Linked DNA regions of Styela clava. The protein of the gene in region 3 interacts with the protein of the main gene of each other region in a pairwise test. Links are inferred from orthologs where the notes say so. Each region holds a gene or a part of one and is shown on either strand. Other genes may lie near its edges. The genes, in order: syntenin-1-like, prenylated Rab acceptor protein 1-like and chaperone Ric-8A-like.

What was found.
Region 1: the proteins of chaperone Ric-8A-like (region 3) and syntenin-1-like interact in binary tests that used the Homo sapiens proteins (3 or more experiments, as listed by UniProt). The link is inferred for Styela clava from reciprocal best matches to the Homo sapiens genes RIC8A and SDCBP.
Region 2: the proteins of chaperone Ric-8A-like (region 3) and prenylated Rab acceptor protein 1-like interact in binary tests that used the Homo sapiens proteins (3 or more experiments, as listed by UniProt). The link is inferred for Styela clava from reciprocal best matches to the Homo sapiens genes RIC8A and RABAC1.

What each region holds. Positions count from the first base shown.
Region 1 is NC_135263.1:830,835-841,458, forward strand, and holds the start of syntenin-1-like, read left to right. Parts: upstream 1-5,460; 5' UTR 5,461-5,550; coding exon 5,551-5,601; intron 5,602-8,060; coding exon 8,061-8,151; intron 8,152-10,624. UniProt on the Homo sapiens protein: Multifunctional adapter protein involved in diverse array of functions including trafficking of transmembrane proteins, neuro and immunomodulation, exosome biogenesis, and tumorigenesis.
Region 2 is NC_135253.1:18,935,690-18,945,914, forward strand, and holds prenylated Rab acceptor protein 1-like, read right to left. Parts: upstream 4,481-10,225; 5' UTR 4,337-4,480; coding exon 4,290-4,336; intron 3,781-4,289; coding exon 3,577-3,780; intron 3,416-3,576; coding exon 3,318-3,415; intron 2,917-3,317; coding exon 2,815-2,916; intron 2,216-2,814; coding exon 2,121-2,215; 3' UTR 1,294-2,120; downstream 1-1,293. UniProt on the Homo sapiens protein: General Rab protein regulator required for vesicle formation from the Golgi complex. May control vesicle docking and fusion by mediating the action of Rab GTPases to the SNARE complexes.
Region 3 is NC_135252.1:15,382,150-15,392,490, reverse strand, and holds chaperone Ric-8A-like, read left to right. Parts: upstream 1-5,146; 5' UTR 5,147-5,227; coding exon 5,228-6,931; 3' UTR 6,932-8,137; downstream 8,138-10,341. Other genes in the region: ATP-dependent translocase ABCB1-like, read left to right, coding at 1-164, 872-902; uncharacterized protein LOC144421013, read left to right, coding at 8,142-8,525; uncharacterized protein LOC120343245, read left to right, coding at 8,662-9,954.

The DNA.
Region 1 (10,624 bases), on a different chromosome or scaffold from region 3:
CATGTCGAACAACTTTGCTCTACTCTAAAATCATGTGATACTAGTTTTGCCTGCATGTAAAAAGAAATGACTAGAATAAAAGTATCCTCACACTATACGAATAATACAGAATATACACACAAATTAAAAATAATTTTCATTTAACAGCTGATACTACATAAATTTAGGACAGTTCACATACAAATAATATGGCATTTAAATAGTGACAAACTCACAAATTTGCTCTTCCAATAGAGCTGATGAAATTGATCATCATCATGGCACTCAGACAGTTTACTTGACTTGAAACAGCTGTAGAAATAAATGAAAAATCAGAAAACAATGTTACATTAAAGAAATAGTTATGATAGCATGAACCATTGCATTCATAATAATAAGTTATTGGCAATATATAGTTATCAATATACTCATTCCTGCATTTGGTGAAATTCATGGGCATGGTACTACAATATTCTAGTTTCATTTTATATAGCAAGAGTCAGAATCATTAATACCATAAATATCGTACATATGTGCATACAGCATACCAATAACATGCAATATGATTTTACATTGGTGTATATCAAAATATCCACCCAACCTGCTATCTATTCGCTTCTCGCCTATTTTTTTTATCCAACTTCGGGAACTTGCAGACTTGTGAATTAGCCGATGACAAGATACATACACCGGGGTACAGTGCAGTAGTGATACATGGATATCGTAGGTAAATCTCAGTTCAGCTCATACACAAAATATAACCAAGAGGAATATTTTGGGCACTGGTAGATCTAAATATCTGAAAATATATCATTTTTGTTAAAACATTTTGAAGTTTATATTACTGAATTAGGACTAGGAGTATCTGTTCGACGGTACCACTGCGCAACTGCTTACCAACGAAACTATACTAAAATACTGGGCCCTATGTCTGTTTATGACAAGAACCAATATAGCAATATACTACTGGTACAACTGTAGTCTACAATCTAAGCTAAAATAAAACTTCACAAAAACTGCTAAGAAAATCAAAAAAACGCAAATACAGAAATATATCAATACGCCAGGTACCGTATGTATTTACCTTACTAGCCCAATTCCCCGTTGTGAATACTTTTGTTCGGGCGTAGTACGGTAGGTACCGGTACAGCACAGGTACCACCGCAAATGCTACATATCGCAGCCTCGTGGTACAGGTATACAATTATTTATTCGTCGTGACGCTTGTACAGAGCTCCCTGCTACTCCATTTGTCGCCCCAGAATATAATATAGATTGTACGGTAAGCGATAACATCCAACACGACAAGCGCCGCAATCCAAATGCACTCGACAAACCGAGTTAAACCACCTCCAGACCAGGTTTAAAAAATCGCCGATTTTAAGTCGAGATTTACGTCACAGAAAGTTAAACCACCTTTTTGATCCGGACTTAAACCGCCGATCCAAAGTTAAACTCCGATTCGAGGTTAAACTACCTTTTTGATCCCCACCCTTAGAGTTGATGAGCTAAAGGAGAGCACTTGAATTTGATCTCACAATAGATGATTTTGATTGGCTCAATATTTCACCTTTTCGGCGCAGGCAGTGTTTTTTAATGTTCAGTATAAAATTGGGTAAATTTAGCGTGTTTTGCTCATTGTAAGATGGAATTTGGGTAACGCAGATCTAGAGCAGGAACGTACCCCCTGGGTGCGGATCGGATCCCCCGCCCACTTTAAAATATAAAAAAAGCATTTTTATGTATTACAGCAATTTTCGTAGCATGAAACGCTCATTTGACCGTCAAGAGTATAGAGACTCTTGAAAAAACACGTTTCACCTCAGAAAATTCCTGATTACGCCTCCGACCTAGGGTCTGAAGAGTTTTTTTAGAATTTCAAATATTGATTACAAAATCAAAAAAAATTATTTTTTGAAGACGACGCTTACTCGCGCCTTTTGCTCGAAGCAAAGCCAGATACAAGCATGAAGGAGCTGTCCACAAACTTAATGCACTGTTGAAGTTACACGAGCGCACAATTTCCACTTGGATGGTTTATTTGGAGCAAGAGTTGATAGCGTTCCAAAAACCACGAAATGTAACTGAGACGACGGGCGCACTGATGGCGGGATCTCCACCCTTTATAGTAAAATTCATGGATGTTCATATTTCCTAAAAAAACATACATACAAACCAATAATAGAAATAAACATTTAATTCTTGCTATAAAACAAATTTAAGGTAATGGGGATGCTTTTGTTGTTTTACTTTTACCATCAAGAAAGGCAAATTAGCCAATCACATTATACTCTTCCAGAAAAAGACTTTTCTAGCCTTTTTACCAGCAAAATCATTTTTAAATATTATCAAAGGCAATCGCTTTCAAAATCTCGCTTTCTATAGAAAGCATTCACAAACTGTTTTTTGTGAGACCGCAGACCGCAAGTGTTTAACTTTATTAAAAAACAGTACAAAAAATATTAATCTGAATTTCTGAAATAAAGCAGAACAGAAGAATTTAATTACTAATGGTGACATAACGAAAATTTATTAAATTTACCATGCACAACAAATTAATATTAATACCTTAGTAATGCCTTATATAATATTGCTCAGACGATCACAGTAACTTAGGCTTACTCGTCCGAACTACTTTAATAAGGTATATTGGGAACATAATTAAAATTCGCCGTATCGAACGACAATTCATGGCCATAACGGCAGATCGGACACAAAAGTTTCCCAGTAACCGTTGGTCGACGGAAATTCCAGCCGTTTCGGTTCAAATGATTACGAATTAAGTATGGGATCGTCTAAGCCCTGATTATGGCATAATACCGTTGAAAATCACGGGTTGCTCTGAAGGTTTTGTGCGTTTATTTTAAGCATGTGTAGTCGACTTCAATGTTCGTGTTTGTGCCGTGCTAATATCTTCTTATATTTATCTGTATGATATTTCCCAGGCCCGGGGTTTTAAACGGGCCTGGACTGCGAAAACCCGCGAAGTGTGAGATCAAATAGTTTTAGATCTCTTCTCGTCGGGAAAGGCTGGACGTCGAGTGATTTTGAGTTGTGTTTGCTGTCATTATTGCTGTTTTAAGTATATAGTTGCCGTACAATAAACAACCAACTGAAATCTTGAAACTTTCGACTCATTTACACACAAAACTTAAACTGTGACACATGGTTGGAATAATCCGTATTAGTTGTGAGCAGGTTCAACTGAGGTTTTTTGAATGAGGCGAAAATGTTATACGGGTGTCAATGAAGTCCCTTTACAATTTCAATTTTGTTCTGGAGTCAGTTCTCAATATATATATTTTACCCAGGCATGTTGTTTTTTAATCAGCAATTGTTTGAGTATTTTTACTTCATTTAATTAATACATCTGTGAAGATCATATATGGCATCGATAAATTCCCTTTGTGATTTAAAAAAAAAGACATCCTATATATTGAAAACAACTTTTGCTCGGTGCTATATGATAGTTTATTTATGTCTGTTTTTTTTTTTTCAATTTATTTATTTTTATGTATTTCATTTTTGCGATAGTTTATACACGACATAAGTATTTAAACGTGTTTCGATTAGTATATAAGGACATCTGGAACAACTTACGGGTTATCTGTCCCATGGCCATGTCCGACACATGATATTTAGATCCGTCGTATGGGCTTTACGATACTATCATGTCACTGCTCCGCGACTAATTTAATCATCCATTTTGATTGATTTCGTTATTTTAAGTCAGGTTTGGATGGCTGAATAGGTTATTGGCCCACTTTCTAATCGATCCCAAGCAGTAGTGGGATTCAAATTTTTCGTCAGCCGGTTCCATCACAAAAGTCATATTTTTCAGCCGGTTCCGTTACAAAAAGTCACATTTTTTAGCAAATAAACCAGTAATGCTAACCGGTTCGCTGATCTCATTAAATTCAGTGAGACGGTTCTATAGAACGGATGCGAACCGGCTGAACCACGGATCCCGAATAAATAGCCTATTTGTCTCATACAAATGAAATCAGAAGCAAGGCAAACAGATCAGAATATGAGCAGTGGAGCAAAAACAGTGCCGTCTTTGTCGAACTCGGGGTATGAAATCTTCATCAAGACAAGTGGTTCTCAAACTTTTTGCGCTTCAATTTTAGAATTTGTCAAGTCTCGCACCCCACCTCAGATACAAATACCAGATAGTAAGGCGAAAGTATGTTTTATTCAAAATCAATCAATTTTATTTGGTCACTCTGGTTTAAACAAAACACAAAACAACAACAAACGGACAATATGCCCCTGGAGGACGGGCATATTAACAAAAAAACACATTGAAACTACTTGGGTGGAAAGTAAATATCCAAAATAAAGTAGGCAAGATCAAATCAAATTTGGGTATTTTTAAATAAGTTTTGCGCCCTCTAAAAAAAATTGCCTACGTGCCCTCTGTGTGTGGGACGCTTCACCATTTGAGAACCACTCGTCAAGAAAAAGCAAACCGGCCTACTCGCTGATTAACACGGGCAACCAGGAACAAATCATAGCGAGTGACGTACATTGTCCCGTGAAAAAAAATCACGTGCTCTCGCTACGCCTGGTCACGAGAACATGACGTCATACGAGACAGAAAAGAAACAAAAATCTCGAATGAACGCATTTTAAAGATTTTGTGTCGCGGCTTCTGTTGCGTTTTATATGCCATGTTATTTGGGTTTTATCAATTCATTTTTGGGGGAACAAAGATAATGAAATGGCATATAGTTGAATAGGAAATATGACAAGCAATGGCTTCTCGTTGAGTTGCCAATTTTAGTTCGTTCGTAGCAGTTGGAATAGCTTTTTACTCTATTCTGCTAGTTCTGTAGTTAGCAATTCCAGACTTCAGAGAGTTGCCATTCGTTTCCATACCTACTAGTACTAAATACTCCATTGAATACACAGTCAGATAGTGGTACAGTAGGAATACTGTCATAGGACTTACGGAGTTAAGATAAGCCGCAAGGGAATTTCATACGGCCATATTTTCATTTAACATTTAATTTGCATTCTTAATCACATCTGCATACAGACATATGGTTGTATGGTACCGGTATGGTACGGGAAATTTCAGAGTATTATTACGGTACATCAGTACATGCTTCCGTTTTATTAATGCTAAGTTGGCCGTTGCTATATGGGGGACAATACCGTACCGTACCGTATGTTTTGTATCAGCGAATACAGCAGTCTGGCAATAGGTTGCTGCCAATGAATTTCTTCATTTTTTTTCATGATTCTGTGATTATAGATAATTTGCTGCTAGTGGTTATTTGTACCTTATGTAGTTCTGTGGTTTGTTTTCGCTGGTTGAATTTTAATTTTTTCATATAATCTATCCAAACTGAACTGCCAAATTTTTTTTGTATGACGACTTAATACGACACTTTGCCCGTGCGGCGCCAATTATCAGGGAAAAAACTCTTGACGAAATTATGTGAAAAAAAATGATGCTCTGCGATATCTATATAAATGCTTCATTTAATCAGTTTTATTACTATTCACAGAAAATACTATTTATAATTTTTACATATTTTTTCTGAATAAAGAAGCGAAAACAAAATGTCTCTCTATCCCTCACTTGAAGATATGAAAGTGGACCAAGCCATCAGGGTAAGAAGTTTAATAATTTTTCATTAATTAAGCTTTTTTTATTAAGATTTGTTTCGGGGTTGTTTGTTTATTGAACTGTCTATCCTTCATCACGCATTTCTTACCTGCAATACTTCTAGTGGGTGTAGCATAACAATTTTCGCATATGTCAATCCTAACCCCCACCTGACTGCGTCATCCAAAAAGTACTCCACTATGACTTCACAGTGACGTAGTAACGCCCTTCAAACTAAAAGAACTGTCATCCAAGATGCGCAGACGACCACCCAATCGATCAAGTTATTTTTTTCGTTGCAACCATCCCTAGATGAAGGAGGTCGCTGTCGTTAGTGAGTTCTTTATCATCAACGCAAATGCCATTTCGGGCGATCATAGGTATACTTTGGCAAGCTCTATGACGGTATTGTGATGTCATAGTCCAGTCTGGATTTCATGGCCTTTTTGAACGAGAAATTGGGCATGTAATCAGAAATTCCTGGAGTGCAATTATAGCTCACGGTGTGCAAAACACGTCTTACATTCATTAGTCGTTTTATTCCTTTATCTGTGGACAAGCATATAAGTAGCGATTTTAATGTGCCTGGCAAGATTAGGATTTTTCTAATTCAGCCTTGTTTTTAATTTTATTACTCTGATGTACATGGAAAGCATTGGTTACCATGGCTTACTTAAAAGCAACGTTTTATTTAACTTTTTTCTTTTCCTTCAACTTATAACCAAAGTAAATATTTACTAGGTAGCCTTAGCACTTCCTTGTTAGGTTGCTATTGTTCTAGACATTCAAATAGTCAAATACATTTACATAGTCAGTTATTGATTTGAGAATTTTGGATATTCACGTATAAGTTTTCTTTGAAAATGTAGGTACTATTAAAAGTCATTGACATGTGATGATTATGCAAAACAATTGATTTCCCATGCTATGAAAATAGAGGATCAATCAAAACAATGCATAATGCATTAATAAACTTTTTTTTGCATCATTGAAATGGATTACAATTTTTATTTAAACAAATATATATATATGCACACTGTATATACTCGCCGATAGGTTCGCGCTATTAGTTTTGTGTTCAAAAAGTTTAATTTAGAGTTGACTCGCACATAAGTCGCACTCAAAATCTGCGGATTTAAAAGGCCCCTTCCCTAGCTTTTTTGCATAGATAACTTCCTATTTTATTTTATTTTTGTAGGGCTTAATATAATTAAAATATGTTTATCGACGCCTGTGAGCGATAATGAGTGCATGTACGCAAGCGCAGACGATACTTGGTGGCGATTTGCATTTATGTCGAGCGGATTGGTCGCACGTATATTTTTTAAAGAAATATACGGAAAAAATTGCGGCCTATCTGCGAGTATGTACGGTATATAATAAATAATATATAGACTCTCAGATTTGAATGTAAACTTGCGGGTTCACGGTTGAAGGTTGAAAGGCCTAAAGGTTCAAGCATTGAACTATAATGCCTGGTATCGCATGTTAAAAACTATGTTTTGAAGCGTCATACAAAAAACGAAATTAAATTTTGGCAATATGTAGTTTTGGCAAGAGATATTGACAAGACCTTGAAATGTCTATCAAATTTTCCTGTGTGAACAGCTGTTTGTTTTTCTACTCAAGAACAATATGAATAAATGTTTCATTTGTGTCTCGTTTCTTGAGTTTTTTAAAGTGATGTCTAATTCCAATGATTGATTTGCTATAAAAGATATTATAACCTCATTGATTGATATGCACATTCATGATGTAATAACAGCAAATTAATTGACACAATGACGAAACAATAGACCACCGACAAAGATCAGTTCATGTAACTTGAATCAAAATACAGTAGTGAATGAGAGCTTTGCAGTTGACTAGTAGAATTATTTAAGATCTGATAGATTTGATTAGTGTAGCAGTAGCCTACTGGTTTAATTTTCGGACAGCAAATTCTTTCTAGTGCAAAATATGATAAGACACGGGTCACACATTTTGTTTATTACTCTTCCTTCCTTGTTATCTTATTATTATATTTCCCTGATGCCTTTATTTATGGGTTCATATCGATGACTATGGCCCTATTATTTTCTTGCATGAAGTTTTGGTGAATTAGTGATACAGTGGGATTGTCTGTCATATATTTGCTTTGCTTTGAGATGTCAACCAATAACTGACATGTGACAAATCTATATAGATAGACCTCTGATGCGCCAGTGACTCGTATCAATTCCACGCACACCCACTCAAAAGTAGACTCATCTCTGAGCAATGTTATGGCAACTGCTGAAATTCCAAAGAACTTCTAAAATTATATAGAAATATGGTGGTGTGTTACGCTTCAGCGAATACCGCTTGGCACAATACTTGAAGTAGTTCAGGTCAATTAGATCTGAAAAATGGTTATGAGAAAGTTTTTTCATTTGAATTATTCAAATTTTATCAAAAAAAAAATTTCAATGTTTCTTCTATTCAGGCGCAGTCTCAACATAGAGATGATCACATGCTGGCATTGAATATGCAACAACAAGAAATGGCCGCGGCAGGAATCCCACCTCAGCAAGCAGGTTTGTTTAACAACAAATTGTCTCTGAGCAAAGTTAAGGTCAATCACTCAGTAGCAGTGTTAACTCTAAGCGAATTATGAGTGCGAAAGTGCTTCGCAGTCGAAAAAAAAAGTGCGAAAGTGCTTTTGCCGATTTTAACAAGTTAGGTGCCCTAGCCTTTTATATAACCCATTTAAAACAGCATAGATACTCGAAAAAGCTCTCCTCTGGTTAATATTATGAATTAAAGAGAAGCCTTTCCGTTAACCGAGTTCCCTTTAAGCGAATTCATGTTTAATTAAAACAAGCAAATTTATCGGCAACGAAAGGGCATCTGCTAACACCTGCCGCGGACAAAACTTTCATGCAATGTATCACGGTGTCAGTTGTTTACTTGCGTGAACAGCAAAGGCTTTCACATTTGTTACTCCTTCCATCTAACAGACAACGATTGATACATGCAGGATGGAAACCATATTAGTTACAGGGTGGATCATTTGTACAAAACCTGTGCAAAATAATTCCCCCCCCCCCCCCCAATATAAATAGCAATCAACTAATTACGGTTAGGTGCCCTGGAAATTCAACTTTTCGATTTATCCCTAAACCTAATCTGATAATTATTAATTTGTGATTTTGAACCACTTTGAAAGTCGCCACCCGCTGTTGTAAGAGATAGGTTAACCTACGTTCCCTACGAAATATTACGCAGGATACTCCCCTTTTAGGAGATAGGTTGACCTACTCTCCTTTCAAACTTTTTTCTTCGAAATATTACACAAGATCACTTTGAAAATCCTCTCGTTTCGTGAGCTAGCGTGACCTAGTTTCTCATTTACATTTATATTATACTATTTCAGAGCTTACCAAAAGACCAGTAATTCTTTAATGTCGACATGCCTTGGTTTGCGTGCGATTTCGGGCAGAAAACATCATATATTGGCAAAATGTTTAGTAATGCCATGTACTTTCAGCATTCATAAATAGCACTCTTTGTAATGCTGCTGACCTAGTATCAAATATTCGCATCACAACGCCACTTGCGAGGTTTCCATATATTCCAATTACACTAATAGGAACGATGACACCAAAGAGTTTTCTTTTGCGAGATACACGAAATATAACGAGGGTGATTCTTGAAAAAAACATGGATATAGAAAATAAAGGAATGATATGATAGTGGATCCCAAATAATTTTGAGAGCGTCTCGAAATACCAATCCATTTAATAAATAATTTTTATTCAACCACATGAACGCTGATATTCTGAAAATTAATGTTGAAAGAGAAGTACGCATTCTCAGATATCGGACATCCAGTCGCGATATTCAATCGTTTATATGCACAAATCTCACATTAATAGTAATTGCTACCCAAGTTTGTAAAGTTTAGAAACCAACAAACAGAAAATAACTTACGGTATTCTAAAACACAATTAAAAATCAGTTGGCAATAAATTGCGCCGAGATGATGCCATACAAAACGAAAAAGGTTTGGTCGCGAGAGTTACGTTAGATGACTGCAAAACGACGTTGTTTTTTAAACAGAATGTAAAACAATCAAATAAAAAAACGGGGGTTACGACGCCCTTAACACATCGTCTGTATTAAACTTCCCTGGTAAGTACTTTGGTAAGTACTATTATTATTGTACTTATACACCTGTTGGAGTATTTCGGACAGTTTCGAATTTAAAATAAATGAAAACCCGACATACAAAAAAGACGCAAAAGTAAAATTAACATTTATTGAAAAAGTTATTATTTAAGAAAGACAACATGATCGTACAATTCCGCCAAAACCTGGATGTTCGCAAGTGAGATGATAAACTTACCTGTATTCGATCAATTAACTTTAGCGTATCGTTGTTCTGCCAACAAACAGCGGGGTGCAAAATATTTCCGTCCTGTGAAAGGCTCACAAATATTCTCGATATTAATATCATACCCTCGCGTATGTACTTTCTATTAGCTCTTTAGTGATCCCTTTCATCCTTGGCCAAGTCATGTTTCGAATATGTGAACATTTTATTCGACCATACATGGCCGGCGGGATGTTAAAATTGTAAACAAGAGAGAGGTAAAATCAATCGCGAATTTCGTTATAACGGCTCGTTTACGAATTGTTGCGCTTGTTATTGTCGAAAATGATTACATTTGTTGTATTTTGAGGCATTTAAGCAGTAATAATTGGGGCATGACATCATCAAAATCGTCAAGTGAGATCTTGAAATTGCAAATTCCGTGAATAAAATTGTGAATTACTCGGTAACAAATTCAGCTTTAATGACCGTCGGGGTATTGTTTTATTGAAAATTATTATTAATGTGAGAGCGCCAAAAAGATACAGTCCATACCGATGCGACTGCAATTTATATGGCCGCACTTGGTGTGGCGCGTTTATTAATAGTGTAAAATAAATTAAACGGATATCAATTATAACCAAGCCTGTCAGCGTGTTTATTTTCTGTGGTCAAGAATCGTAAAATACCATCTT
Region 2 (10,225 bases), on a different chromosome or scaffold from region 3:
TTCATTTGTTAATGTTGTGAGACTTAAATTGCTCAAATTGATAGTTTTTTAAATGAATTTGTTCTAAATTATTCCTTGAATGTCAAATATATTTAAAATAATAGTTCATATTGGTTGAAATTTTAAACATCATTGGCTATAACAAAAATACTAAAATACCTTAAGAGATTTGGGAAGAATTATAAATATAAATCCAATTAAATTATGTTGTCTGGAATGAATTATAACATTTAAAATATGGTGAATTCTTTTTTTGTTATGTACTGCTCAGATTGAATTACATCCTATTATATTTCACTGTAAATTACCATGAAACTATTTAATATTATTATTTTATTATATAAAATATCCAAGTTCATGAGATAAATGGATGATATAACAAGACATCTTGAAGGTGTTATTGATTTAAGGCAGGATATCAACATGACAGGATAATGCTGTGTGAGCAAAGTTACCAATTGCAAACTATAGTTTGACATGGAACACGAGTTTAGTAGAAAGTTATCAGATGTCGTTTATATCAGGATTTCCCTAACTTGGGTCCACGAACCATTGGGGGTCAGCAACAATATGAAAAGAGTCGGATCGATCTTTAACGATTGATTTCAATCAAAAAGCCACTGCATCTTTTTGGTTGAGCGTTGAGGACGAATACCGGTATACATTGCTGTCAGAAAAGGGAATAATAATTGTATTGCCAGTTGCAACGGCATACATGTGTGAGGCAGCATTTTTAGCTCTTACCAATATGATGACAAAATACAGGTCGAAACTCTAGGTCCGTCAGAAATAAGATTCACTAATGGGTTCGCGGCCCTAAATGTTTTGCGTTTTTATTACTTTCAATGACCACCTGAAATATTCACCTCTACAAACAATATTATATCAGCTCTAGATTATAAATTTGGCAAATGTGTTGAATATAGTTGGAATTCAATTATCACCCAGAAATATTAATACAAGCCTAACTGTACATTTGTTTTTCTAATAGTCCTGTGAACAAATTTTTCAATCAGATATCCTGAGCCTCCGCGATGTGAGTTGACCAAGGCTTTCTTCAACACTATATGTGTGTGCTCGAATAACTATATTCGGTGTCATATTACTGGAAGTGTCTCTAATGAATGGCCTCAACTCATTTACATTAAAGCATTTGTCATGCTGTCCCATGCATATATGTGCTTCTTCACTGAGATTATTACCTCGGTCTAGACTCCAGATCACAACCTGCTGTTCCATGCCTGTATGCAACACCTCCCAGAGATTACCTTGTATTAGCAACAGTCCGGTAAATACATAAAGCACCATTTATTCCGTCAAATGAGAATTTACAATGTAATATTTGAAACATCACCCCAACGACATTCTATTGCTCACCATATGAAAATATTACATTAGTCATATTTACATATTACTAGTAGTCATTTGATTTGCACCCTATTGCACGATTTACTTCTATTTCATCTTCATGGGAATAAGGTACAAGCAAGATTGGGCTCCAATATTCAATAAAATTTGAACGCTATGTACTTACTAGTTTTGTAGATTCCAGGGCAGAGCAGTCGTATTTGGCATCTTTTTATTAATATGACGAAAACGGAGTCTTATTTCCAACCCTCCTGAGCTAGAGACAATCTAAAAATTCCAAATTCTTGGGGACCGTAATTTTAGATATGTGAGCAAGTCAAAATTCCTGACAGAGAAAAACATAAGACTAAGCATTTGGCAGATTGAAGGTTACATACGCCGCCAATTTTCGAGGTCAAAAGTCAAACTTTCTTCAACCTGGAGCTAGATTCATTTTTAACAGCTCCAAGTTTGTAGTTTAACCTGGCTACACAGAAGAAATGCAATCCGACAGCATTCAATAAATAAAGTTATCACAAATAAGAAAACATGGTCAGAAACTGGTATCAGTAAATTTCTATAGGAATACAATCAATGACAAAAGCCACTGTAAAAAATGCTTCATAAGGCTCAAATACATTTTGTGTAACACAGATTTTTCCTGATGTGAAATTAACTAACAAATTTATAAATAATACAGAGATAATAATAAAACTAATTTATCTCAAAAGTTTTAAATAACATTAAAAGCATGGTAAATTTCACAGATCATTTTACACAGTTTCCATAAAAGGTTCTTCTGGCTTCGCAGCTTCTTCCGGTGAAATATGAAAAGAGGCATGAAGTGCGACAAGAAAAAATGAAACCCCTGAGAAATGAAAATGAAAAATCAGTTATCACTTCAGAGGGTCCGAATTCATGGGAAAATGTATATTATTCAAAATTGCTATAGCATGGCTAAAACTTATTTGGGCGCTCCAGAAGCATGTGTACCAATATGGAGGTAACTAATTTTGTTCGCCCACTTCACATCAAGTTGCGTAAGGGGACGGAAGTTGATGGGCAGGGGGTATATTAACATGGCTAACACAGACAGTCCCCAAACTCGTAATAAAACTAAAATAGGGAAAATCGGAATAAAATTATGCTCTAACCCTAACCTGGTACACACACTACGAGATTGCCCTTATTCGTCCAAGGCTAAGGTTTATATGAACTCTATTTACTGAAATTTGGTAATAGATGCGTTAATACATATTATGCATTATGACAAATTTTATAGATAATAATTTTATTACATAGATATGACTGAGATATATAAGCTCTTTTATAGTTTAATACAAAAAGACTTGAGATTCTAGATAGGTCATGATAGTTGTTATATTTGTTTATGTCGTGCCTCAAACCTCTTTGAATAACACAATTATTCACAATCCTAGTAATATTAATTAATACAAACCAACTCACCAAGAACCCAAAATACAGCTGATCCAGCTCCAGCAATAAAAAACAAAGGAAATGACAAAGCAGCAGCAATTCCGTATTGGTGTGCATATGATAATTCATGTCCTATAACAATGAATAATATCCGTTTTATATTTATGAAATGTGTTCAATGTTATTTGTGAATTTCTTCAAACAATTGGACTACACAAATTGGACTCCTATTAAAAATATACCTGTTTATTTCAGTAGATGGCGCAATATGGTTTTATAATTAACGACTATATTCACACTAGCTGTTCCATGTATGAAATATTCATTTAATCCTGGATAACTCTTTATTAAGCACTGTGAATTTTTCCCGAAATGCAGCAATTTAACAAGTACATAATGAATTTCAAATTGGCAATTTCTCATGATAGTTATATATAATGAAATGATTTTCAGTCAATTATGTTATATTTACAAACATTCAAGATATGAGAGAATAGAGATGTATTCTAGGGTTATTAAGGTTTAAAACTCACCAAAAACTTTTATTTTCTGCTGTTCGTTCTTAATATGAATAAGATAGCAGGCGCCAAGGAAAACTGCAATTGCAATCAGCATAAGTGGTGAAGTGACTCTAAAAATTAAGGCAAACTTGTATTAATGGAAAAATTTGGAACTTATACTTGGACATGGAGCATGATCCGTGCCGACATCTGATTAGCAACAATCCTTAGTATAAGTTTTGGATTTATGCTTAAAATAAATAAATATACGGGAAAGAAGAAAACGTCTCACATGCAATAAATTATCAGTCCGATGAATACGAACAAATAATTGGTTTGATAGTGTTCAACATTTTTCACAGCACGAGCTGACCAGCCTTTTACTCCTTTCGGTGTGTTGAAATTTTTTGTATTGACAAAATCACTCCATGGCCTCACAGATTGTCGACGCTGGTTGAGCCATTCTTTGGCGGCTGGACTATTGAGCGAAATCATTCTGAAAAACAAATATGCATATTAAATTTTTTCGTCATTAAATTGTAAAAATTCAATGTATGTTTAAGATGAATCTATTGGCCGTTTGCTGGATTGGCGAATTAATATTAGTTTATTTTTTTATTCTCTTACTTTTCATGCAATGATACGTACGTATTTTCTTACTGTAGGAATGGCTGGTTATGGTACTGGAAGGCTACAGTATCTGCTGATCTGTGTGCTAATCACATGCATGTATGTTTCAAGTCTCCAGTCATATCATTTTTTTTTGTCTCGAGCTAACACAAAAACTAGCCCATATTACCACAAATTTTCCATATAGGCTACGGTTGCCTATATTCTATAAATTACTGTAATTTGTATTCATACGGTACTACTGCATTACAGTACCATATTCTGGTATTAGATGAACTTGCATCCAATTCCGACATTAAAAATTGCAGAATCAACGTTAAACAAAGAACTACGGGTACAGGTCAAGCCAAGACATAGAAACCAAATCTGACTTACTTGGTGGACAAAGAAATATTGCCAGTTACCTCTTCTGTAGTAGACATCTAAAATATATCTCCTAGAGATAAGATGACAGTTCGAATTACAAAATTAGGCAAGTAGGCTATCGTAATAAAGAGAAATAACGTTAACCAATTTTGCTTCGCCACGTACTGACGTGTTATTGTTGATATCACCCTCAGGCATTCTGTCCACCCGGCGACGCTAAAGATTCAATGGACTATCGAAGCTTGTGGCCCAGCGCAATCAGTAGTGTATTTCTTTCATGTTTATCCTAACAAAGGAAATAAAAAGCCGACAAAACGGCTAATTTCAAGTTAGGAAGTGAAAATTAATGATGTACAGAATTTTGTAGTTTCCTGTATCAAATCCAGTAACTAAGAAGTAAGCTGTTATGAACACGAATAAAAAGGTGTACACAGAGTATTCAGAATAGCCAACAACTCTAAAATCAGAATTCGAACGCAAATAAAAACGATTTTATTGGACAGCAATCGTGTATTGCATCGTCTTGTTAAATTTGTGATAAGCCTTAATAATGTAAGCTATGAAATGAACTAACCCTCATCGTCTATCCACTGTTTTTATATTTGACTATCGGACGGACTGGTCGGCCTAAACCTCGCTGGTTTTTATTTCCACTACTAATGGGCTTTCTGCTCCAGCTATCCTGAATGATTTTTCTATTTTATTTTATTCCATGATGGACGGACGACAAAGGCAATCGCTGATTTTACTATTCTCATCTTAATTTATCTTGTTTGTCTCTTCCTTGGGCCTCACTGATTTCCATTTTTACTTAATTCCTTTATTTATTTTATTGTAACACTAGCGGATTGCTGCATTTTTCATTTATTCCGCCTGAATTGCTTGGTAACTTTTTTCATTCTATTTAGCTGTTTTTTTCATTTATTTCCCCTCTTACTGCTTGTGGCTTGGCATTTTACTACTTACTTTCCGCCTTTATTTCTTCCCTGAGCCTCGCTGCTTTCCATATTCACTCCCATCCTCTATTTGCTTATATCCTTGCGGATTGCTGTCAAGTCAAGTTTGTTTTTTCCAACCACTAAAAAAGATATGTTTTACACTAAATACGAAAAGAAAATTCTGATTTCTATTATTCCTTATTTTCAATGTCAAACCTGATCTCTTTTATCACTCCGCCGTGATCGACGCTAATTTTCATTATCGCCCCGTTTTTACAAACTAATCTCATCGGACTGCACGGGGCTTCTTGCTTTCCTGCTTACTTGCATGGCCTGCTGCTGGCATCGTCGGCTTATATTTCCTTGGCGGCTAGCGACTGGTCTGGCTCCTATTTGCTTTCGTTCTTTCCATTTCTACTCTTCTTGGCTGCTGCTCTCGCTTGCTCGTCGGCTATCGTTCTTCCCTCGAACGCCTGTCTTGTCTGCTTCTCCATTCCTACAACTCAGTCTACCATGTGGAGTTCGAACCCACTTTCATACTTGTCCGGATGTTGGATCTTATCCCTATGCCACCGCTACTGTTGATGATCGGGTGGATCAGAATCTTGGCAGATCGCGCTTGGCAGCCCACGACGAGGCTAATTATCCCGAAAAATTTACATTAAACATACTGCGTTGTTTCAAAGCAGGTGTATTCATGCTTGAATAGAAGGCTTCATCTGGGACTATCGTGTGCGCTTAACTATTGAATGTGTGAATATCCCCTGTTATCTCGTTTTTAATTTGTGGTTCATTTTAATTTATTTTTCACTGGACTGACTGTCAATGGAGGATAAGAGAAAACTTGAAGACGGTTCATCAACTTGGTCATTGTTGTCTCTTGTGCTAACTGACCGTCTTATCTCTGATTTACTGTTTCTAAGTTTATAAAACATCTAAAATTAAAATTGGCGCGGCGGTATGCTCTTACAGATTGAAACCATATCATACACGCTAAAAACAAAAAAATAACACCGTAAATTTTGTCCTAAGAGCCAAGCGACAATTAAAACATACTAATGTGACAACCCGAGCGCTGTCGGTCTGTCTTTTGGTGTCATGTTGGCTGGACTGGGGTTTGCGTCTGTGGTTGTTTCGGTTGGATTCCGGTGTTTTGGGGTCATTTTCATTTATGTTGGTTCTGTTGTTGTTCTTCTCTACAGTTACACGACAGCACGAAACCGATGTTCGACGATGAACAGTAACATCTTGTGACTGTGAACTGTGAAGTATAGCAATTAACAAGAGTAACGAGCACAGGTTGTCGTTGCCAATGGCCGGTCTGTCCCCAACAATGTCCAAAACACCGCGTCTTTTTCGATTGAAGCAGTTCAGAGCGCCAAATGTTTGCCGCAAAACAACTTCTGCCTTCGCACAATCTTCTGCCGTACACAGCCCACCGCCTCGCCAGAATCAACACACGCAAGCCATCATAAACAAATTCTGCAAATCTATTCTTCATTCAAATAATTTCTTTTAATCGAAATTTGCAGATTACGATCACATTTTAACCATTGTCCAAGTTTCGGATTCCTTCGGGCCAGTCAATGCGGCCACAACTCTGTACCCTCCATTGTGAAGTTTGCTCAGAATTAATGGGGCAGATAAATTCGAGAACTTGTACAATGTGGATTGATACTGAAATAAAGTCAGATATTAATCGATCAAGCACTTAGAGAATTAGACTTAACTGCGTTAGTATCGCAGGTTACAGATCTCAGATTCAAATCCCATGCCCCAACGACGGATAGCGTGTTATAAATTTGGTAGGTAATGCCTGGTCTGGTCCTTCCAAACAAAAGTACTGTGTTTCCCCCAAAATAAGACCTAGCCTGAATTTTAAAAATGATTTTAAAATAAGCCCTCCCCTTAAAATGAGACCTAGCCAATAGCGCGAATTATTATTTTTTGACTCATTCGATAACAAGAAATCTCTTCTGCACATTTTAAATGATTGATAATCTATGTTTCACAGTTATTTTGACTAAAAACGTGTCATGGGTATAGCTTTCCATATTTTGTATGTTTGATAATCTCGTATTTCTCTACTTTATAATTTTGTTTTCGATAAATTAAAATATAGGACATCCACTGAAAATAAGCCCTAGTGTTGGAAGAAAATTGAAATATGACCCAGTCTTATTTTCGGGGAAACACGGTAGTTCCTTGTATATCGTTAGATATAAGTGGCTGTTTGATTATTTTCCAACCAGTAAAAAATAACATACGAAATTGAGGAAAAAATAAATAAAATTCAACACACATTTTTACTGTGGAAGGGAAACTGTGGGAAACCAAAACTAGTCATCAAACAGCGACACCCAAGGTTCAATATTTAATTAAATTTGTAAGGTCGAAAATTAAGTTTTTAGAAATCTGTTATCCTTGGTATGTAAGGCCTTGTTGGGCAAACGGCATGAATGAGCATCGTATATATATAAAAAAAATTCAACGTTACATTATCGCAAATCTGTGTCAGTGTGTTTACATTTTATTCATCTGAATACTTTGTTATTGGTATTTTACCCGGCGCTTGGCGTATCGTACTGAGCATTAGGAATACGGACCTCTGATTACCATGCGCGGGTTCGAACCCAACGGGGTAGACTCAATGACGGGAGGATTGCTAAACCCGCCGACGTCGTAGTCTGGTTTACGTAACACCTGGTGGGTTATGACTTCCTCCATCAAGTCCATGCAACCGTAACAAATCAATGCTGGATTTATATGGAGATACTATATCTTGGAATGGCCGGAATCTTCCTAGTTCGGTGTGGACTGCCAGTGTTGGGTAGCCCCTCGACCTCGAGGCTCAAGTCGATTTCAATAACTAACTGAAGTCTTGCTGACATTCATTTGTGACAGGGGCTTAGCTAGGGATGATGGTCGAAATCCCTTTTGAATGTGAAAAAAAAAATTCTGTATCATTCTGTTGCCTCCCCAATTTATTACATTATGTTTGAGGTGAACCCTAGGCCCAGAATGTAATATGAATAACTTACACACTATTCTTTAGATGGTTTAAATTGATCCAATCCGATGCTTTGCATCAACGAGGAAGCCTCGGCGTCAGTTGTTTCAAATTCAATTTTCAACTTCCATCCATATTTGCGGGAAAATTTCACGATTATATGAGACATCGCTTCAGTTCTAAATCAACTACGGATAGAAAGTAGTTTCCCCTATAAGTTGGTTGGTAGTTATATAAAAATGACTGACAAAACACAACACAAAAACTAGTTATAAAAAGTAAAAATTCTTACTCATTGAAGACTATATCTAGTGGTGGCATTCGGGGGTGTAATTCTGGGATGACGAGATAATCAACAACTCGTTCTCGTTTTTTTTTTCGTTTTAGATGTTAGACAACCGCAGAAAAGAGTGGGGTTGGTAACGTGATATACATATACAGCCAAAAATATCCATATAGCGCCAACTACCAACTGTATTTGTATATTGAGTTGGCTATATATGCATATGACTTGGTAGCATATGTATAAATGGGTTGGCTCTATATGAGTTGGCGGTATATGCATATTCTTGGCAGTATATGCATAATTGGGTTGGCTCTATATGAGTTGGCGGTATATGCATATTCTTGGCAGTTTATGTATGACACGTTACCAACCCTATCGGCAAAAGTGGGCTACGTGCATCACAGATGACGGCTAGCGTTATATTTGACATTTCGAAAGTTATGTATTAGATTAGTACCTCGTTAATGTAGCCTATGTATTGGCACACGTTAGTAAATTTTACGTACAATTATAAGCTTGGTGTGGCTTCCTGGAATGAGGAAATTTGTTGTTAGTTAGTTCGATACAAATGGGAACTTTGCAATTTTGAATACCATCCACGTACGTAAAGAAATGACAACACAAATCTTTAGACCAGGTCTCCAACAATAATGATTCTATGAAGGCTATGTTCCGGGTGTCTCAAAAATTCGTGTCCCACATTAGTCCCAATTGTATGAATCTCACTTCATGCTATTACTGTAATCTTCTGCCTAAAGCTTCATATCTATCCCAACCCAAAACATATCATAGATCCCAATTCATATGCTTACTATAACTATTTGCCCCACAGTATATATCTTTCCCCCATATAAGCAGCCACAGATAGGCAGGGAAAAACTGTTGTTTGGGATGACCGAAAACTTTTCAGTTCGATACGTAAGACTACGTTATATTAAAAGAAATATGATCGTCGAATATAGTGTCCGTTTCCATACATCTCGGTGTCTCTCAGACACAATAGAACGGCTATTAGTGTAGTCGGAGATTGAAGCGATCGGCCCGTTAATGAGGACAAAGTATGAGGCGAAATTTCTTTGTTTTCTCTGTTATGTTTTGGCAATGTAGCCTAGCTACGAAAACTACGTATTCAATGGTGTTTTGTCCAGACTAGAGCATTGGTTTTCAATCAGTAGGCCATGGTTCACTGCTGGGCCACACAAACATTTCCACGTGGGCCACAAATCTATTAACAATTGTCAGAGCAGTAGTTTCATTTGTGTCACTATAGTTAAAATTTCGATTTTAGTAGCAATGAATGATGATGCTGTTTTTTGCTACAAAGCGCTGACTTTCATTGTAATTATTAGAGTTTGAAAGAATTTTTTGTTTCTATTTGTAGTTTTTTCCTTACAATAAAAAAATGAATAAACCACAGACTTTTTGTGCAGCGAAAATGGACTACTAAAAAAAGTTTGAGAACCACGGTTCTAGAGAGTGAAATATATCTTTAGTTAGAGTTAGACCCGATTTTAGACTAATAGTAATAGTTTTGCCCGAATTGCCGAAATTCAATCAACTTGATATGATTGTGCCTACACGTTGTTGGTTTTGAACTTTTCACGCATCGTGCTCGGTTATAGCGTAAATATATACTACTACTACATGTCCAACTCCGCTCGCCGTATTATAAACAAACCAAGACGATGTTGCACCTCCAAGTGTGGGGCGT
Region 3 (10,341 bases):
CAAGAAGCATTAGACAAAGCACGGAAAGGTCGTACAAGTATCATAATAGCACACAGATTGTCAACTGTTAAAAATGCAGACATCATCGCAGTTGTTGACAAGGGCAAAGTTGTCGAAACTGGAACACATGAAGAACTTCTAAAGAAGCGAGGCGCATTCTACAGGTATAATCATAACATAGACGCCTACTTGCTATCAGCATAATAAGCGTGGTTTGAATTTTAATATTGAGGTTCAATATTTCCTTCTTCGTCAATATTAATAATTTTACTGAAGTAAAAAATTTTGCTGATTAGAAATAAAACTTCATTTTGGAATTTGGGGATAGTCAACCATGTATACTTATGATGTTTTTTATTTCATCTTTTTTACATTGTCCAAAGCGAATATTCGAATTTTTTATTTTTTTATCTATTAGTAATTCCATTTTTCATTTATTTATTCACGTGTTATGCTCATTGATTTTCCTAAAGTGTAAATACTAATTAGGGCTGTCCGTATATATTTGAATGTTATTATCAATCTGGGTTTGGGCCAGAACGCCTAATATTCTCTTGTTTCTCAAGTTTCAATGAAAATATTTCTCAATTCTCATTACTTTCCTTCTATGCAGTCCGCATTTGGTTAGGATTTATTATTATTTACTTGTCACCTGAACAGCTAACAGTCATAATTTTTCTTTAGAGGTCGGTCGATCTTGCAGTCTTGTCTGTTCTCTTCCGATTTTATTTCCATTTACTTTTCTTGATGTCTGTGTAGAATTCTTAAAAGACATGATGACGTACATGCCAGCTATCTTTAATGATACTTGAGTAGTATTTGTTTTGCATTTATGCCAGCACTGAATTCTATTTTCAATTAATTTTTTCAGTTTGGTCAATGCCCAGCTCACACATCAGTAGTAGGCAAAAGAAGCAATATTTTCTTCTGTGTTCACAAAAGAAGTCAGAAGATTGGATTACTGACGAATGCGTTCAGAAAACTTGCCATGAGCATTTTTTCCCAAAGTTTTTTATTGAGTTTTTTCTTGTTCTGCACCATCAATTTTTTGTACCAAAGGATCCTTTTTATACACGACAATGAGTGGTTCATACAGTATAAGTGTTTCATTTTACGATGGTGCTCGACTCTCGTTATATAAATATGTTCATTTTTCTTTACAAATACTTAATGTTGAGGTTGTTATGTTTTTAAATAAATGGCTTTAAATAGGTAAATATCTGATTGGGTATACATTTCGTCCTTTTACTGAAACTTTATCAAGGAAAACAATGTTCTCGCAATAATTTCCAATATTTTTGCCTTCAAAATAAGTGTCAAAACTTTTTAACACATAGCACTCAGATATTAGAGCATAGGTTCTCAAAGTGCTCCGTACAAAGCCACAGGGCTTCGTGAGAGAAAACTAGGGGCTCCGCGAGCAATTCGATTATAGATCGGCTAATTTTGTAACAGTCCAAAGAGGCAATAACAACAGTTGAAATGAGATTTGGCAACTGAGCCGTCGAAATATGGCAACAATGCGGAAATTCGAATATATATATCACATTTTCTATAAGCAGGATCGCAGCCAGGATTTTTGAAAGGGAGGGGAAGGCCAAATTTGGGATCGAAAATTTCCACGCAACCTTATTCGCGATTAGGCAACTCGTTGAACAAAGACTTTTCAGCGGATAACGAGTTTTCTGTTGCATAAAATATTCAATCCGTGGCCGATGAGAACGTTTATAATGTCTTGTCATAGTCATTTAATTGTGTCCATCGTAGCTCGCCTTTGAGTTGAGATTTTACTATCACGATAACTGAAATGAAAGATTATTTTTTAAAATAATATCAAATACGTGCTAAACTTCCAACCATAGATTGATAGGAATCGTATTTTTGCGATATTTTGATTCGTCGAATTTGTGTTGTTTTTTCAATCCTCAAGATTATTTTAAGCAAGATATATCGCCATTACTGAAATGAAAGATTATTATTTTAAAATAACATCAAATACGTGCTAAACTTCCAACCATAGATTGATAGGAATCGTATTTTTGCGATATTTTGATTCGTCGAATTTGTGTTGTTTTTTCAATCCTCAAGATTATTTTAAGCAAGATATATCGCCATTTTAAAAATCCCAAAGTCGGCAATTCATGACCGATGATGTCCATTGGCTTAATTGTGTTGGATGTAAGCTGTGGTTGCGTCAACTTAGGACTACATCATATCATTTACTTATTGTTTGTCAAGTTTTTTTTTTACCCTTCTTCCTCCTACCGCTGATTTCGGTCACTCTAACCCCGTGCTGCTTCTCTCCTCTTGGCTGCTCTTTTCGCCAATTTCCTTCCTATTTTTAACTCGTTACATTTTTTGGCCTCGCTGAATCCACCACTCCCACTCGTGTCTCCTATTATCTCGTGATTACTATAATTGGCTTCGCTGGATCGCGCTTCTCTCCTCTTGGCTGTTCTTTTCGCCAATTTCCCATTATTAACTTTTTACTTTCACTCGTCTACTCGCTGATTGTTATTATTGCGCTCCGCTCTGATCGCTTGGCCTTCTGGCTTGATGTATTTTCGCTCATTTTCCGATTTCCATGGCTACGCCTTGATTAATTCACTCTCACTGTCTCTCTCAGTGGTCCCCTTGGTGATTTCTATTTTCGCTCCACCCTCCTGATCCGCTTGGCCTTCTCCACTCACTCACTGGCTTCTATTTCCTTTTCAACTCTGTTCTCGTCTGCCCTCTTTACCCCTCGGCTGTCTGTCATGTCTGCTGGTCCATTCCCTCAACTCAATCTACCGTGTGGGGTTCGAACCAAAGTCGTAATGTTTGATCGTGTTACTACGTTTCCCCTGAGCTACCGCTACCGATGAGGATAGGGTGGATTAGAATCTTAATTAATTAACGACGTCGCGCGTCAGCCTATGACGAGGCTAATTACCCCTCAAAAATTACATTGAACATGCTTCGTTGATTCGAAGCAGGTGTATTCATACCTCTTTTGAAAGCGTTCATTTGGGACTATTGCGTGCGCTGCATCAACTATTGAATGTGTGAATATCCCAGCACAGCAGGTAAGGTACCTAATCAAATCACTTAAATTTTCTATAAATGCAAAAACTTTTATCTTGGCTAGAATATCTTATAAATTAACTTATCCCTAGGCTATATGTGTGCATCTTGATAGATAGATTTTATTTCGATTCATTCGCAAAAACAAAATAAACTTATATATATACATATACACACGGCTGTCCTATTATATTGGTTCCCCTTATTTTCAGGATAAATCAAATATGAATATCTTTCTTTTTCTCAAAAATTTATTCGCTGCTTGATTTAGTGACCGTATGGTCCTTCCAACCTCCTATCAATTCCGTTGTTAGTCGATTTATTCTTCTTTTACTTATTGAATGTTGTTGTTTGTGTTTGATTTGTTGGCTAATGACTGGGTGATGAATAAACTTCTATCTATCCATCTATCTGCTCATTCATTGTCGCTAAGTTGTTTCTGCGATTGCATTCTCGCAAATGTTTGTTTTGCATAACGCCAGTCGCAAAAATATAAGTATAGGGTTAGTATTCGCGCAAGAGTCCGTTTTCGTCTGGACCTTTTTATTTGGTGTGGGAGGAGGCTAGTTACTGAGTTACCGTATGGTGTCGGTACGGGTGCAGCCGGTATATTTAAAATTATCAAAATCTTTTTATTTAGTTGTATACCGTACCGGTACAGTTCTTCAGTACGTGACACACTTTATATATTCAGATTGTAATTACGGTACCGGTATTTTATAAAGGTCAGGCGATTGCCGTTGTTAAATTGAATACCGTACCGGTACCGGTATTGATTTCTAAACAGTGAGCAGCGAAGAAAAAATAATAAGTTTCCCGTATTAAAAAAATATGGCCAAGCTGGTTTTGTATGAAGTCTCCGATTACAGGATTAGTCTACCACATTTTGTGCTTTCAATTGCCGGACTCTGAGAGGTTCTGGTGCTGAGGTAAACGTGGATATATGTAATTTAGTAATCTGTGAGCGTTTAGGATGCCTTAACTTACCGTATAACACTGTCAGAACGCCAGCCCACACTCGTGTGACGCTAGCCCACACTCGTAGGATGCCAGCCCACACTCGTGTGACGCTAGCCCACACTCGTGAGACGCTAGCCCACACTCGTTTTTGACAGGCCATACTAGGGGTAACTGGTCCGTGCTTGGTATTGCATTTGCGCTGTGTATATCCAATATGGTCTCTATATTGTCATAGCCACCAAGTTTTTATGTATTAACGTTTATAAAGTGGTAAAATAGTTGGTTGACCCATTGACGTCAGGCTGAGTGTGGGCTGAGCGAGTGTGGGCTGGGGTAACTTTGGTACCGAAACTGCTTGAATAATCCCAAACAGAATGTGATGTGAAATTTTTTTTTTAAAGTCTGTCTAGGACGGAAATGAAATACTTGACAGATGCGTTTCTGCGTTTAGTTAAAATAAAATCCACTCGATTTTCAACTAAGCCAGTACAGCAGTATATTCCATATCATATACCAGTAGGGTATGGGCAGACTATGTCGTACTGTAAACTGAAATAGAGTACCATATACCAGTAGCGTTCTGACTCAACTTCTGTCCGAGACTACTTTTATTATAAAAAAATAATAAATATTGGACTTTATTTTTTTTACATCATGTTTTTTTTTTTGGTTGGCATTATTTAAAAACTTGCTCCGTGTACTTCGTTAGACTCCACGTGCCCCACACCACATATTTTTATCCCCATTGTTTATAGCGCAATAGTTCTGTACTTGGTATTCAAGAATTTTTCTCTGTCAGATTAAATTCATCCAGCAGTACGGTGCTTATAACTTTTAACATATTGCAGTATTCTGGTATAGAGAGATCAATAGTACTGAACTAGTTTCAATTACTTATTCATGTATTGGGTGGTGAAAAAATCTGATTAACTCATTCTTTACCACCCAGTCATTAATAAAAGATTTTATTTTGAATCACTCATTTGGTCTATTATTTATGTTTTGTGTTTCTGGTTAGTGGTTTAAAGAATAATTAAGTTGTTTATCTCTCACAATAGGTGTATACCTTATGTGTGAAAGGATTATTAAGAAATCCTCCTTTCATAATTATTCAATATACAACTGTTCAGATCATTACTTGTACTAAACTATACTATTACAGTATTAGTGATTTCCTTCATTTAGTGTGAACCACAGTCTGACAATGGAACCTATTAATGGATATCCTAATACTATATTATCTGAGAATGATACTGATAAATCATTAGAAGCATTAAAAAAGTTCAATGCAAAGAATAGTGGCGCTTTCATTTTTGGCAAAAATGACATGCAAGAAAGAAAACTATTTGTCTCACATTTATTGGATATTTTAAAGTCTTCTCTGGATGGTGAAAGCACCTCAGAATCTGAATATGTGGTGGAAAGCCTTTCTGCTCTAGTCGTAATGTCTAGAGATCATATGTCAATGAATGGAAGATTTTTGAATCGAGAAACATGGAAGATATTGACAGTGATTGCTGGATTACTGGATAAAAATGGGAAGGCAATGACGGTCATCGAAACGTCTAAGATACTGTTTACACTTGCTAGTAAATGTCTATGCAATATCATGTTCATTTCAAAAGATTCGCAAGGTTATTGTTGCGACGATGAACTTATAAAAGGCATTTTGCAACGTTTGAAATCTCTGGATCCCAAAGATGAATCAAATGATACTGAAGTTGAATTTTTAACACTTCGATTGCTGTTTCTCGTTTCTGTGCTCAATGTGCAAGCAAGAACAAAGATTATTGAAAACCACGAGGGTAGCCGAGTCTTGTTGGATTATTTGAATTCGAAATTGACATCATCAAAAAGAGTTGTTAAACCTACGCCATGTATCAGAGCTAGTATTTCTCCTGCACATGCAAAATCCTGTTGTGAAATATTAAGAACACTGTTCAATTTGAATCTGAAATATCGGCATGAAGAAAGTCAAGTAAAGGAAGAAAGAATTACTATTGAATTTGAAGATTTGACATCAGTTTGTCGTAAATTGTATTTGGTTCAAGCAGGTGATGACAAAGTTTTGACGGAGAAATTACATGGTGACGCAGGAAATTGTTTATACACTGTGCCCAGGTCTTGTTTACTTGATGATACGATAATTCCTTTAATTGACAAGTATGACCCTGATGATGTGTTTTCATACAATGGCGAAGACATCCCGCAATGGGAGGAAAGAGATCTCAGTGCTGTTTTGAATATTTTAAAAGAAGTTGAATTGAAGATTCACAATAAGTCATTGACAACTGAAAGCTTGCAACCTGTTCTTTCACTGCTGAGCCACATCAGTCGTACATCAAGATATGTCAGAAAATATTGCAAGAATTACGTTATCCCACCACGTAAGGATTTTGAGCATCGTCCTGAAGTTGGACCAGAATTTCGTAATAAATTGATAAAGCTTTTCACACATGCTAACACAGAAGTAAAAGCGGCTGCTGCTGATTTTGTATTTGTCTTGTGCAGAGAGAAGGTGGAGAGACTTGTTAAATACACTGGTTATGGAAATGCTGCGGGATTGCTTGCAAGCAGGGGGTTACTCGCAGGAGGCCAGGGAGACACTGTTTATTCTGATTGTGATTCTGACTCTGACACAGAAGAATATTTAGAAAATGCAGAGAAAATTAACCCCATTACTGGTCACATTCCACCTAATATTCCCAATCCGATGGAAGGTATGTCGGAAGAACAGAAAGAATATCTTGCTGTTCAATTAGCAAATCAGATTTCGAAATTGTCAAGTGATGATATTATCAAACCTGTATGTATCGATCCAGATACTGGTAATCTGGTTCCTTTTCAACAAAAAGTCCACAATATGCAATTACCAGAAGAGAAAGATTCTGATGAAGACATTGATTGAAGATTACAGATTGACATAATATAAGCTTTTGCAGCAAATTTTCTGAACTCATCTTCCTTTAAATAACTAACAAAATATTGCGATAGGAATGGAAGTTCATTATTTGAGAATAATTTGTCTTTATTATTATATCCTGGGTAAAACTTATGTTGTGTGAAATGCAAAACTAACCTCGAATAAAATTTTGGACACTATCTTTTGAGGCTGATATGCCAACCATTGGCACCTTGGAGGCATTCCTGTATCTTAGTCCAGCTTTAACTGTGATAGTTTTGAAGCAAATTGCTATATTTGTAAAAACATATTTCAAGTCTGTACATTTTTTAATGCATATATGTAATTGTGCCCGTCTGTTGCCCGTTTTCTCTTTTGTAATTCTATGTTTAATGAAATTTTATGCTGCATTCACCAAGTTATTTGTTTTGAGGGAATCATGTCTGTTTTAGTAATCGTTTCTTATGAATTTAGTTTTATTATTTGAATAAAAAAATTTTCTCTGACAGTTGTTTCAAAATAATATTCATGTCATTTCTTGCAATATATTAAGTCAATTAATGCGTCACGTATGCTACCAACTTTCCTAGAAAAATGCTTTTTAAGCTATATGGAGTACTAGAATTCTGTGTAGTGCATCGAGTATTTGCATTTTGTTGCGATATTAGATTAAGAACTAAATTCTGACATATCTTACACAATGTTAATTTCTGTATATTAGCCAGCTTCTGCAAAATACAATCATGATATGTATAAGTTGGCAAGATTTTTTGCTATATTTTGTATACAGTTATAACCTATTCTTTTGTAAGGTGTTGTTTGATCATTCGTTTTTGCCTAGTAGAGATTATTGTCCATGGGAGTCATTAAGTTTTTTTTTTTTTTTATGTTTATGTGTTGTATCATTGTTTGAAGTTTCAAATTACTCATTTTACAAATTGCTCAATAGAACAACATGGACAAAGATTACAGTCAAGCTCGCCATCAGTTAAAAAAATAACTTATCGAAGGATGATATTTCACTTTATGGGGTTATTTAAATGTGCAGTCTTTTCGAAATGGCTATATTGTGATGTTATGACTTATTTTCATTATATTCAATATATTCAGATGTTTTGCTGTTTTTCATCAATATTTTCTACATTTATGTATATATAGCTTCCACATGTTCTTCATGTAACGTATCTTTTTTGTATTTTTGTGATATTATAGCAGGATGGAAAAAGTTAATAAAAAAGTACAGCTAGAATTTCAAAGTCACGTTTCTGAATTGCAAAAAAATCAAAAAGCTATTGGCAAGTGTGTGAAACTACGACAACAGCTTGAAGCTCAACTTACAGAGAATACTCTCGTACAAAAAGAGTTGGATATTCTTGAAAGTGATGCCACTGTTTATAAGCTTACAGGTCCTGTATTGGTGAAGCAGGATTTGAATGAAGCAAAAGCGAATGTGAAAAAACGAGTTGATTATATTACAGAGGAATTTAAAAGACAAGAGAAAACAATTGAGGATTTGGAAAAGAAACAAGAGACAACAAGACAAGCATTAATGAAAATTCAAGCTTCGCTTCCAAAGCCAACTGGAAAACAAGTAGCATAGTAAACAGGATAATTTTAAAACTGAAATAAATTTGTAGTGAAATATATCCAATTTGGCTTACAACCACATTTTTTTTTTCAATTATAAATTTTTTGTGTTTGCTGCTAGAAATCTTCAAATTCAATCTATTTGAAGAATGAGGCTGGAAGAATACAGCACAATCTTTGACTTTATCAATTACCACAAATCTAATTGTCCAAGAACAGTTCTCTCTAATGTTATTTCAAACTTTGGGTCTCAATATCAATATCATACACTAATGAGTATATTTTTGACCTGTTTGCAACGAAAAGTGAAAATGACGTACCACTCAAAAATGAAAGAAGAGAAATTGAAATATTATTACAAATTATATAAAGAACGAATGAATATCTCACATCAAATGAATCATAAACAAAATGTAGTGAAAAGTAACAAATTACCCGCACAAAATATAGAACAAACCTCAAGTGAAATTGCAAAATTGTGCAATGGAAAAGAAGCGGTTTCGAATGGCACTGACAGTGGTTCTTCTGATGTAAATGGCAAATCTGTATTGATTGGTATTGCAAATGATTTCGAAATTCCACCTTGTTTAATGGCAAGAATTATTGTAGAGCAATACCTCATTGAAGAAAAAGCTTCTGCTAACAACAAAGAAAATTTTGCTACGGGAACAGTGATTGGTAACAGAAAAAATCAAAATGTTACACAAGAAACTACAGTTGCATCACTCAAAATGGAGAATATAAATAATGAACAAGTGCAGAAAACTGTAGATCTTGCTAGAGTTGATGGAACCAAATATTCACCTTTTCCGGCCTCTCGTATTGGGTTATCAAATAAATCTAAACCAGATGTTAGTTTTCCGCCAATGAGCAATCACCAATCTTCCACACAATCAATGCCTACTAGCAAACCCCCTAGCACAAGCTCTGTTTCACAAACATCGATCAAAAATAAAGTGTCATCTTGGATGAATGATCCTTTTCTTATACCAGATGAGAAGCTTCGTGAACAAGTTTTGCATTGTATAAGTTTTGATGTGTGTTACGGCCCAATTAATGATGCTATCCGACATTCGGTTGGTCTTGAATTTGAGGAAAAACTCGTTCGAAATGTAAAAAGGCACAATCTACCATTTCTGGATGAGAATGATCTAAGAAAACGAGGATATGACAAAACTCCTGATGTAAAACTGGAAGTTCCAATATCAGTAAATGGTTATCCGGTTTGTTGGATAGAAAGCAAAGCATCATTCGGTGACTTACAAACTCATAGTGAATATTTGAGAGACCAGTATTATAGTTATTGGAATAGATTTGGTCCTGGTATAGTTATCTATTGGTTTGGGTTTATTGATGGAATCTCTGACGAGATGAAAAAATTGGGAATACTAGTTATGGACGATTTTCCATCTGATAAACAAATTTCTTTCATGAATCCGTGACTTTTTCAATATTTGAAATTTTTGTATTTGTTTAAAAAAACTCCTATTTATAGATTGGTTTGTTTAGTTTGGGTTCTTATATAATTCAATATTTTTCAAACCATTTTACTATTGATCCAAACCAGTGGTTCTACACCCTTTTTCTCTCATGGCCCATTTTCTTTGCACAAAAATTCTGCAGGGGGGTAACTATGAAAAAAATCCTTTCTGCAAAAATAAACACCTTTACTTCAATAATTAGAATGCCACCCTGTAGCAAAATACAGCATTGTCATTCTCTGATACTATCATCAATCTAGCTAAATTTATCAATATCTTTAGCAATTTTTTGTGTCCCATCTGAAAATGTTGCTCTGGCCAAGAGGCTATGACCCACTGGTTTAGAAT